Linked DNA regions of Arabidopsis thaliana. The protein of the gene in region 1 purifies or fractionates together with the protein of each later gene. This does not show direct contact. Each region holds a gene or a part of one and is shown on either strand. Other genes may lie near its edges.

Region 1 (3,755 bases):
TGAGCAACAAAAATACAGTTGTCGATCTCCGGAAAGAAGAAAAGATATCATAGTAACTAACCATTGGATCAAACTGCTTGCCGACTGTCTCCACATGGATAACACCAAGTGATCCCAGAATTTCTACAAACTGTTTGTATATGCTCTGATAGCTATTAGTGACTTTCTCTTCTCCCTCAGTCTCCACCTTAATTTGGGATTTAGCTCTCTCGAAATTATCCAAAACAGCCAAAAGATTCTCTACAACCTCTCCTTGAGCATTTGAAACAAGGTTTAGCCTTTCCCTCTCAGTCCTCTTCCTGAAGTTGTCGAAATCTGCACTGATTCTTATAAGCCGATCCCTCTCCACCGATAACTCATTGGATAAAGACGCTACTTTATCCGCAAGCAGAAATTTTTCATCTTCTATGGACTTTAAAGATGCTTCTATCTCAGCAATCTTCCCCTCGTTGTTGTCTGCTAAAGCTTCTTTATAGGATTTCAGCAACGCTGTGATAACAGCTGCTTCTTCTTCCTCAGCTTCACCCTCCTCAGCACTGGCATTTTCATTCTCGACATCAACAGCACCATCCGTCTCCTGCTCCATGATTTCAGAAGTGAAACAAAAAATCAGAAAAAGAGCAATCCAGTTTACATAGACGTTTCCTATCTATTCCTGATAAAAGCTGAGACAGAACACACACTAACGACACAATTTTTTAATGACCTCCTAAACAATCAGATTAACACCAAAAAAGCTTCAGAACATTCTGTGGCCCCCATACAAGAATCACGAAATCAAAATTCGATTTGGATAGTACATACACACCATGGTCTTAAACTACTAGTGAAACTCCTTCATTTTGGGAACACACCATACCACAAGAATATGAAATCTGTCATTCATCGGATTTGGTATATCCTAAGAAACATTAGCATTCACCATTTGACTCCTGAATAGACTGAATACAATCCTATTCATTGCTCTAATTCATGTGAACGTTCCTTCAGAGGGTAATATAATCAATAAAGCTTAAAAATTTAAGCAAACAACAAGCAATTCTAAATTACCATATCCCAAATTCGAAACCCTAATCACCGAACTAACAATGAAATAACCCCCAAGAAAGTTGAACAGAAGTGAGCCGAAATCGAAAAACCTGAACTTCGGGTTCGTTCGATTCCACCTCCGTCTCCGTCGTCTCAGCTTCTCCCGAAGCAAAGGGTACGAGGTTTAGTAAGCGGAGAGGATAGCCGCTAGAGACAGACCGGAGAGAAGCTCGGCGAGAGAGTGAGACGCTAACGTTTCTTCCTCCGGCGAAAGATACGCAAAAGGGCTTAAAGGGTACAGAAGGAGCATGAAGAAGAGTTGGTGTGAGATGTAAAGACGGCGTTTTGAGTAGACCGGCCATCGAAGAGTTCGGAGAAAGAGAAGGAGAGTGGCGGAGAGAGATAAGGAAGATAGAGAGAGAGAGGGCAAACGGTTCTACTCTTCCTCGTCGGATCTTTTGTTTTGTTTCGTTTTTTTAACCGTTGGATTTACTTTTCGTTTTTACTATGTTGATCGGACCGTTGTTGTTCAACAGAGATTACGTAGGGAGTTTTTCAACCGTCGGATTTAGATTTTCTTGAAACTTCTACAGTTTTGTGAATATTTTATATAATACAATAAAATCTCTGTAAATTAATACTCGAGAAGGCTGTTCGATGTTCTATGCCAATGATCTAACTGATTCCTGGTATGATGTCTCCAAACTCTTTGTAAGTTGTCTTCCACTCTTATGGTTCAACTCTTTTTCCAAGTCCACTTCATCACGAATCTCTTCATCTTCTCTAGCGATGACTACACTTTTCTTCAAGTGGGAGCAAATTTATCCAGGAACTGTTGTTCTGACATAAGAATATTTGAATGATTTGTAGTTGTATCAATTTCGCCTTGCCTTTCTTTTGGATCTGAATGTTTCAAACATTTTCGACAATAAAATATGTTTTTACCAATTTGTATCAGTTTTGTTATTGCAGATTCAAATTGTATCATGATCTCATGCATATCGTTGTTGAAAATAACATAATAAGACTTGAGATTTGGGAAATTTTTAGAAGCAATTTTGTGTTATTGACTATAACTAGTTCTACAATTTGGGCTTAGGCTTTATTTACAAAAGGGTTTCCTTAAGCCCAAAGAGATGTACTATATAGTTAAATGTTTGTTTTGGTCAAGTACTAGTACTCAATATGTTATAGATGAAAAGTAATAAGAGAATATCAGGGTTTGCCGGTTTGGGTTGACAACAAAGAGATAGGAGACCATCCATGTTTAATCTATTTTCTAAGTCCGCACACTTAGTTTTGTCAGAAGTAGTGGGTGCAACGGACCTTAATCCTAAATCAGAAGTATTAACTACAAAGTGACTAAAGTTTTAAACTAATTATTAAATATCACCCGTTGTTGAGGCTAACATATCATAAAAGATATTCTTCTTCGACCATTTTACTTTTTCATTTTCCAATTTCTCAATATATTATTTTAGTTAAAATTTTGTAAGTAGATGTTTATCAAAAATTCTCAAGTAAATATCTAGCATATGTTTGGAGGTGACAATCCATATAAGCTTTTAAAATTGAATATCAAATAGTTTAGTTCAAATGTTTAGAATTGGAAGCTAAATAAAGGAAGAATTTCAAAAGCATCTTTTCGAATACCACTTTTCAAAAATATTATATTTCTAATTGTTTATTAAAAGTACTCCTAAGAATATGAGGTTTATTCAAATATGTGTGTAACTTTATTAAAGTATACAAACTACTTTTATATGTGTGTAAAAACTTATAAATATTTTATAAATACAGTATAAAAATAACTTATAAATACCTTGTAAAACAATACCTTGTAAAACATTTTTAAATACCTTCTAAAATCTTATTAAACCATATAAAATACTTTATAAAACATTAGATCGAATCTCCAATTAGTAGTTTACACCAAAAACTTTATGAACTTTTGAGATTTAATGAAGAGTATTTTCTAAAAATAAACACCTAAAAAGTTTCCAATGGTGATTAACAAATTGAACTAGCTGAATAAAATGAGTACTGATAAGTTGAATAAAGATAAGCTGAATAATAAAAAAGAGTTGGATAAACTAGATGAGATGAATAAGTTAGAGAAAAATAAAAGGTAACCTCTATATGTTTTCAACAGCTAAACATATTTCAATATTAATTAGAAACAGCTAAACAACAGGTTGTATTTTATTATATTAATTCTAACGCATGCAACGCATGGGTCTTCCACCTGGGTATATCATATAGATTATGAGTCTGTATCAAATTGGTCATCACGTCGATTGAGAAAAATAAAAATAAAGTCTCTAATCATTTAGTTTCCTTCTTTTTATCGTCCCGTAATTCTCTATTTGTTTAACTTGACAATAAACTTAGATCTCGTTTTTTTACAATTTTTTTTTAAAAACAATAGATAAATATGTCTAATTTTCTTACAAAAAAGTGTATAAGATATTCCCAAATAGCCTACATATAGTATATATTTTGAATGAACGATTCCGCTTAACACTATCAGTGAATTTTGGGAACTCAAAAAGGATTATGACCAAGTTTTGGGTTCAAATCCTACCCTCAGCTAGTTTTCTCGTAGTCAAGTTTGTCTCAAATTATTCGTCCAAAACTCTTCGCTTACAAAGAAAGATTACACAAACTTAAAAAAATATTCAAACGAACGAGTTCTACTGTGGTATCAATCATACACATAATGCGAC
Region 2 (3,755 bases), about 17 Mb from region 1:
CCCAAAACGTCCTTAATCACTTTGCAGAGTCCCTCAAACTTCTCCTTGAGCTCTTCTTTCTTCTTCTTCTCGTCATCAGTCTCTTCCAGCTTCAGACCTTCCTTGGTTGCAGAGACAAGCTTCTTTCCCTCGAATTCCTTGAGCTGACCAATAGCATACTCATCAATAGCGTCAACCATGTAGAGGACTTCGTAACCCTTCTTCTTGAGCTTCTCTAGGAAGGGAGAGTTCTCCACGGCCTTTTTGCTCTCACCGGTGATGTAGAAGATCTCGTTCTGACCTTCCTTCATCCTTGTCACGTAGTCCTTGAGACTGGTCAATTCATCACCGCTCTTGGTTGAGTGGTAACGGAGCAACTCAGCAATCTTGGTTCTGTTTTGGGAGTCCTCGTGGATGCCGAGCTTCAGGTTTTTAGAGAAAGCCTCATAGAACTTGTTGTAGTCCTCCTTGTTCTCGGCAATCTCAAAGAAGAGCTCAAGACACTTCTTCACAAGGTTCTTGCGGATGACCTTGAGGATCTTGTTCTGCTGCAATGTTTCTCTTGAGATGTTGAGAGGAAGATCTTCAGAGTCAACGATACCCTTGACAAACCCAAGGTAATCAGGGATGATGTCTTCACAGTTGTCCATGATGAAGACACGACGGACATAGAGCTTGATGTTGTTGGGCTTCTTCTTAGTGTCAAAGAGATCGAAAGGAGCTCTCTTGGGAACAAAGAGGATAGCTTTGAACTCAAGCTGTCCTTCAACAGAGAAATGCTTCACAGCCAAATGCTCCTCCCAATCATTGCTCAAACTCTTGTAGAAAGCAGCGTACTCCTCCTTGTTGATCTCCTCTGGCTTCCTCATCCAGATAGGCTTCTGTTTGTTCACCAAATCCCACTCATGAGTAACCTCCTTAATCTTCTTCTTTTTCTTCTCCTCCTTTTCTTTCTCCTCATCAATTTCCTCAACCTTGCCTTCCTCATCCTTCTTCTCTTCCTCCTCTTCATCATCAGAGATCTCCTTCTCAATGGTCTTCTCAATCCAGAGAGAGATTGGGTAGCTGATGAACTCAGAGTGCTTCTTCACCAAATCCTTAAGCCTTCGCTCCTCAATGTACTCCATCTGGTCTTCCTTGAGGTAAAGGATCATCTTTGTTCCTCTACCAAGAGCCTCACCAGAGGTGTCTCTGGTCACCGTGAAAGATCCACCGGCCTGAGACTCCCACACATACTGCTCATCGTCGTTGTGCTTGGTAGTAACAACAACCTTGTCAGCAACCAAGTAAGCAGAGTAGAAACCAACACCAAATTGACCAATCATGCTAACATCAGCTCCAGCAGCCAATGCCTCCATGAACTCCTTGGTACCAGACCTTGCAATTGTTCCAAGGTTGTTCACCAAATCTGTACAATAGAACAAACACGAATCAGCAAACACAAATCAAACACATAGATAATGGTTTTGAATGAAATCAAGTACAACTTGCTTTTGAATGAAATCAATTACGTACCAGCCTTGGTCATCCCAATACCACTATCGATAATGGTCAAGGTGTTGTTAGTCTTGTCCGGAATGATATGAATGAAAAGCTCAGGCTGACCATCGAGCTTGCTCTTATCCGTCAAGGACTCGAACCTAATCTTGTCCAAAGCCTGTTTCACCAGAATAAAAAGCTCAATCATAAGTAACAAAATACACACAACATATATACAATCAAAAACTAAGTAATCTAACAAATTTGAACATGAAAAGGTTCCATCAATTAACAAACGAAAATCTCAAATCGAAAAGAACACTAAACCCTAATAAAACCTAAATCTACACATAGATCCGTCAAATCAATCGAAGGAGATACACAAACACATTAAGCTTAAAGATAAACATAGAAAGACAGAGAGGGAGAGATCGTACATCGGAGGAGTTACTGATGAGTTCACGGAGGAAGATCTCCTTGTTGGAGTAAAAGGTATTGATGATGAGGGAAAGCAACTGGTTGATCTCAGCTTGGAAAGCAAAGGTCTCTGCGTCCGCCATTATCGTTGATCGGGAAAAAAATCTAAGAATTAGGGTTTATGTGAATCAAAAAGCAAATTCTTAAGAGAAGCAGAGAAGTATTGATGGTTTGATTAAGGGGGAAAAGTGTGTAATATATAGGGGATGTGGAAACAGACGTCATAATATAATGGAAATTGTAAAATATAAAAATTGTCATAATATTTTACTTTCCTTTTTTTTGGAACAAGTGCTACTTACTTTTTTTTTTTTTTTTTTTGTTAAATTTTTCTATTAGCTAAACTAATCAATAAAAACAATGTTTTTCTCCATATACAAAATTCGATTTTGTTATGGATTTGAATTTACAAGTTCCCATTCATTCTAGTTTATCTATGTTTAGATTTTTTTAGATCGGTCCTAGTTTTGGGTTATTTTTTGAAATCGATAAAGTTAATCCCTTAGTTTCAAGATATCTCAAAATTTTATTTCAAATTTTAGTTATGTATTTAATTTATAACAACAAGATAAATAGTTGTGTTAAAAAAAAAAAAAAAGTTTTAATCAATTCTGAAGTTAAAAAAAAAAAATCAATTTTTTCTCCCCACAAACCCCACGCTTTTTAGAGAATATGTGTTTCTTTTTGTTATTGTTTTAATTTATTTATTTTACAACTTTCAATATTATTATTTAATTATTGATTTTTTTGAAACTTTATTAAAAGATACACATACCAATCTGTAAACAGGAAAAAAAAAGTTGTAAGCAAAAAATAAAATTATTGCTTTGTTTTTAAAATAGTAAATTATCATCAATAAAATAAAATAGTAAATTACAAAATTAACAAAAAAGGAAACTAAAACCTGTTACAAAAAAGTAGTAAATTACACCTGTTCTGCAAAATAAAAAGGGAGTAGAATTAAATCTGACTGTTTTTTATAAATAGTAAATTATCATCAACCAATAAAATAAAATAGTAAATTACAAAATTTAACCAAAAAAAAAAAGAAGTAAACTAAAACCTGTTACAAAAAGTAGTAAATTACACCTGTTCTCCAAAATAAAATAAAAGGGAATAAAATTTTAAAAAATTTAATAAAGTTTTGTATTTTTCTACCAAAAAATAGTTTTGTATTTTGTAATTTCCATTTAATTATATTGCAGATTATGTGGACCTGAAAAGCAAATTAACATAAATCAAATAGGAAGGATCTAGAAACCCTTATAGGTTCCCAGTCCCCACACCACTATATATAATAACATCCTTCCCCAAAGTCTCGTATCAATCAACACTTCTCTGCTCTCTAAAGAAAATTTTGCTCTCTTTATCTCTCGATTTGATTCATAAACCCTAGCTCTTAGATTTTTTTTCCGATCAACGAGAATGGCGGACGCAGAAACCTTTGCTTTCCAAGCTGAGATCAACCAGTTGCTCTCCCTCATCATCAATACCTTTTACTCTAACAAGGAGATCTTCCTTCGTGAACTCATCAGTAACTCTTCTGATGTACGATCTCTATCTCTCTACACCTTATTTTATACTTGTCTGTCTCGTTTGATTGATCTGGCTGTTCGATCTGTAGATTTAGGATTGATTAGGGTTTAGTGTTCTAGCCGATTTTAGAATTTTGGTTGGTAATTGAAGTTGCGAAGCTGTTTGTGTTCAAATCTGTTGATTAGTTTTAGTGTTGATACCAACGATTAAGCAGACTCTTGTTAGATTTACAAAGTTTGCTTATATGTAATTTGTATATACGTTCTGTGTATTGGTTGGTTACT
Region 3 (3,755 bases), about 17 Mb from region 1:
GCAGAGTCCCTCAAACTTCTCCTTGAGCTCTTCTTTCTTCTTCTTCTCGTCTTCAGTCTCATCCAGTTTCAGACCTTCCTTGGTTGCAGAGACAAGCTTCTTTCCTTCGAATTCCTTGAGCTGACCAATAGCATACTCATCGATAGCGTCAACCATGTAGAGAACTTCAATACCCTTCTTCTTGAGCTTCTCAAGGAATGGAGAGTTCTCAACAGCCTTCTTGCTCTCACCAGTGATATAGAAGATATCGTTCTGACCTTCCTTCATCCTTGTCACGTAGTCCTTGAGACTGGTCAATTCATCACCGCTCTTGGTTGAGTGGTAACGGAGCAACTCAGCAATCTTGGTTCTGTTTTGGGAGTCCTCATGGATACCGAGCTTCAGGTTCTTAGAGAAAGCCTCATAGAACTTGTTGTAGTCCTCCTTGTTCTCAGCAATCTCAAAGAAGAGCTCAAGACACTTCTTCACAAGGTTCTTGCGGATGACCTTGAGGATCTTGTTCTGCTGCAATGTTTCTCTTGAGATGTTGAGAGGAAGATCTTCAGAGTCAACAATACCCTTGACAAACCCAAGGTACTCAGGAATGATGTCTTCACAGTTGTCCATGATGAAGACACGACGGACATAGAGCTTGATGTTGTTGGGCTTCTTCTTAGTGTCAAAGAGATCAAAAGGAGCTCTCTTGGGAACAAAGAGGATAGCTTTGAACTCAAGCTGTCCTTCAACTGAGAAATGCTTCACAGCCAAATGCTCTTCCCAGTCATTGCTCAAACTCTTGTAGAAAGCAGCGTACTCCTCCTTGTTGATCTCCTCTGGCTTCCTCATCCAAATCGGTTTCTGCTTGTTCACCAAATCCCACTCATGAGAAACCTCCTTAATCTTCTTCTTTTTCTTCTCCTCCTTTTCTTTCTCCTCATCAACTTCCTCAACCTTGCCTTCCTCATCCTTCTTCTCTTCCTCCTCTTCATCATCAGAGATCTCCTTCTCAATGGTCTTCTCAATCCAGAGAGAGATTGGGTAGCTGATGAACTCAGAGTGCTTCTTCACCAAATCCTTAAGCCTTCGCTCCTCAATGTACTCCATCTGGTCTTCCTTGAGGTAAAGGACCATCTTAGTTCCTCTACCAAGAGCCTCACCAGAGGTGTCTCTGGTGACGGTGAAAGATCCACCGGCCTGAGACTCCCACACGTACTGCTCATCGTCATTGTGCTTGGTAGTAACAACAACCTTGTCAGCAACCAAGTAAGCAGAGTAGAAACCAACACCAAACTGTCCAATCATGCTAACATCAGCTCCAGCAGCCAACGCCTCCATGAATTCTTTGGTTCCAGATCTTGCAATTGTTCCAAGGTTGTTCACCAGATCTGAAAAATAAAACAAAAACGTATTAGCCAACACACCAAACACATAAATAATCAACGAAAACCAATACAAATTGCTTTTGACTGAAATCAATTACGTACCAGCCTTGGTCATCCCAATACCACTATCGATAATCGTCAAGGTGTTGTTAGTCTTGTCGGGAATGATGTGAATGAAGAGCTCTGGCTGACCATCGAGCTTGCTCTTGTCTGTCAAGGACTCAAACCTAATCTTGTCCAAAGCCTGTTTTCACCAGAGTAAAATCACAATCGTAAGTAACCAACCAATACACAGAACGTATATACAAATTACATATAAGCAAACTTTGTAAATCTAACAAGAGTCTGCTTAATCGTTGGTATCAACACTAAAACTAATCAACAGATTTGAACACAAACAGCTTCGCAACTTCAATTACCAACCAAAATTCTAAAATCGGCTAGAACACTAAACCCTAATCAATCCTAAATCTACAGATCGAACAGCCAGATCAATCAAACGAGACAGACAAGTATAAAATAAGGTGTAGAGAGATAGAGATCGTACATCAGAAGAGTTACTGATGAGTTCACGAAGGAAGATCTCCTTGTTAGAGTAAAAGGTATTGATGATGAGGGAGAGCAACTGGTTGATCTCAGCTTGGAAAGCAAAGGTTTCTGCGTCCGCCATTCTCGTTGATCGGAAAAAAAATCTAAGAGCTAGGGTTTATGAATCAAATCGAGAGATAAAGAGAGCAAAATTTTCTTTAGAGAGCAGAGAAGTGTTGATTGATACGAGACTTTGGGGAAGGATGTTATTATATATAGTGGTGTGGGGACTGGGAACCTATAAGGGTTTCTAGATCCTTCCTATTTGATTTATGTTAATTTGCTTTTCAGGTCCACATAATCTGCAATATAATTAAATGGAAATTACAAAATACAAAACTATTTTTTGGTAGAAAAATACAAAACTTTATTAAATTTTTTAAAATTTTATTCCCTTTTATTTTATTTTGGAGAACAGGTGTAATTTACTACTTTTTGTAACAGGTTTTAGTTTACTTCTTTTTTTTTTTGGTTAAATTTTGTAATTTACTATTTTATTTTATTGGTTGATGATAATTTACTATTTATAAAAAACAGTCAGATTTAATTCTACTCCCTTTTTATTTTGCAGAACAGGTGTAATTTACTACTTTTTTGTAACAGGTTTTAGTTTCCTTTTTTGTTAATTTTGTAATTTACTATTTTATTTTATTGATGATAATTTACTATTTTAAAAACAAAGCAATAATTTTATTTTTTGCTTACAACTTTTTTTTTCCTGTTTACAGATTGGTATGTGTATCTTTTAATAAAGTTTCAAAAAAATCAATAATTAAATAATAATATTGAAAGTTGTAAAATAAATAAATTAAAACAATAACAAAAAGAAACACATATTCTCTAAAAAGCGTGGGGTTTGTGGGGAGAAAAAATTGATTTTTTTTTTTTAACTTCAGAATTGATTAAAACTTTTTTTTTTTTTTTAACACAACTATTTATCTTGTTGTTATAAATTAAATACATAACTAAAATTTGAAATAAAATTTTGAGATATCTTGAAACTAAGGGATTAACTTTATCGATTTCAAAAAATAACCCAAAACTAGGACCGATCTAAAAAAATCTAAACATAGATAAACTAGAATGAATGGGAACTTGTAAATTCAAATCCATAACAAAATCGAATTTTGTATATGGAGAAAAACATTGTTTTTATTGATTAGTTTAGCTAATAGAAAAATTTAACAAAAAAAAAAAAAAAAAAAGTAAGTAGCACTTGTTCCAAAAAAAAGGAAAGTAAAATATTATGACAATTTTTATATTTTACAATTTCCATTATATTATGACGTCTGTTTCCACATCCCCTATATATTACACACTTTTCCCCCTTAATCAAACCATCAATACTTCTCTGCTTCTCTTAAGAATTTGCTTTTTGATTCACATAAACCCTAATTCTTAGATTTTTTTCCCGATCAACGATAATGGCGGACGCAGAGACCTTTGCTTTCCAAGCTGAGATCAACCAGTTGCTTTCCCTCATCATCAATACCTTTTACTCCAACAAGGAGATCTTCCTCCGTGAACTCATCAGTAACTCCTCCGATGTACGATCTCTCCCTCTCTGTCTTTCTATGTTTATCTTTAAGCTTAATGTGTTTGTGTATCTCCTTCGATTGATTTGACGGATCTATGTGTAGATTTAGGTTTTATTAGGGTTTAGTGTTCTTTTCGATTTGAGATTTTCGTTTGTTAATTGATGGAACCTTTTCATGTTCAAATTTGTTAGATTACTTAGTTTTTGATTGTATATATGTTGTGTGTATTTTGTTACTTATGATTGAGCTTTTTATTCTGGTGAAACAG

Evidence for each region.
Region 2: the proteins of EMB1241 (region 1) and Hsp81.4 fractionate together in Arabidopsis thaliana (co-fractionation; one large-scale study listed by BioGRID). This does not show direct contact.
Region 3: the proteins of EMB1241 (region 1) and HSP81-3 fractionate together in Arabidopsis thaliana (co-fractionation; one large-scale study listed by BioGRID). This does not show direct contact.

Annotation. Positions count from the first base shown.
Region 1 is NC_003076.8:5,840,249-5,844,003, forward strand, and holds the start of EMB1241 (Co-chaperone GrpE family protein), read right to left. Parts: upstream 1,611-3,755; 5' UTR 1,392-1,610; coding exon 1,140-1,391; intron 578-1,139; coding exon 62-577; intron 1-61.
Region 2 is NC_003076.8:22,678,050-22,681,804, forward strand, and holds the start of Hsp81.4 (HEAT SHOCK PROTEIN 81.4), read right to left. Parts: upstream 2,104-3,755; 5' UTR 2,019-2,103; coding exon 1,896-2,018; intron 1,637-1,895; coding exon 1,495-1,636; intron 1,388-1,494; coding exon 1-1,387. Other genes in the region: HSP81-3 (heat shock protein 81-3), read left to right, coding at 3,361-3,483. UniProt on the Arabidopsis thaliana protein: Molecular chaperone which stabilizes unfolding protein intermediates and functions as a folding molecular chaperone that assists the non-covalent folding of proteins in an ATP-dependent manner.
Region 3 is NC_003076.8:22,679,686-22,683,440, reverse strand, and holds the start of HSP81-3 (heat shock protein 81-3), read right to left. Parts: upstream 2,204-3,755; 5' UTR 2,032-2,203; coding exon 1,909-2,031; intron 1,606-1,908; coding exon 1,464-1,605; intron 1,365-1,463; coding exon 1-1,364. Other genes in the region: Hsp81.4 (HEAT SHOCK PROTEIN 81.4), read left to right, coding at 3,374-3,496. UniProt on the Arabidopsis thaliana protein: Functions as a holding molecular chaperone (holdase) which stabilizes unfolding protein intermediates and rapidly releases them in an active form once stress has abated.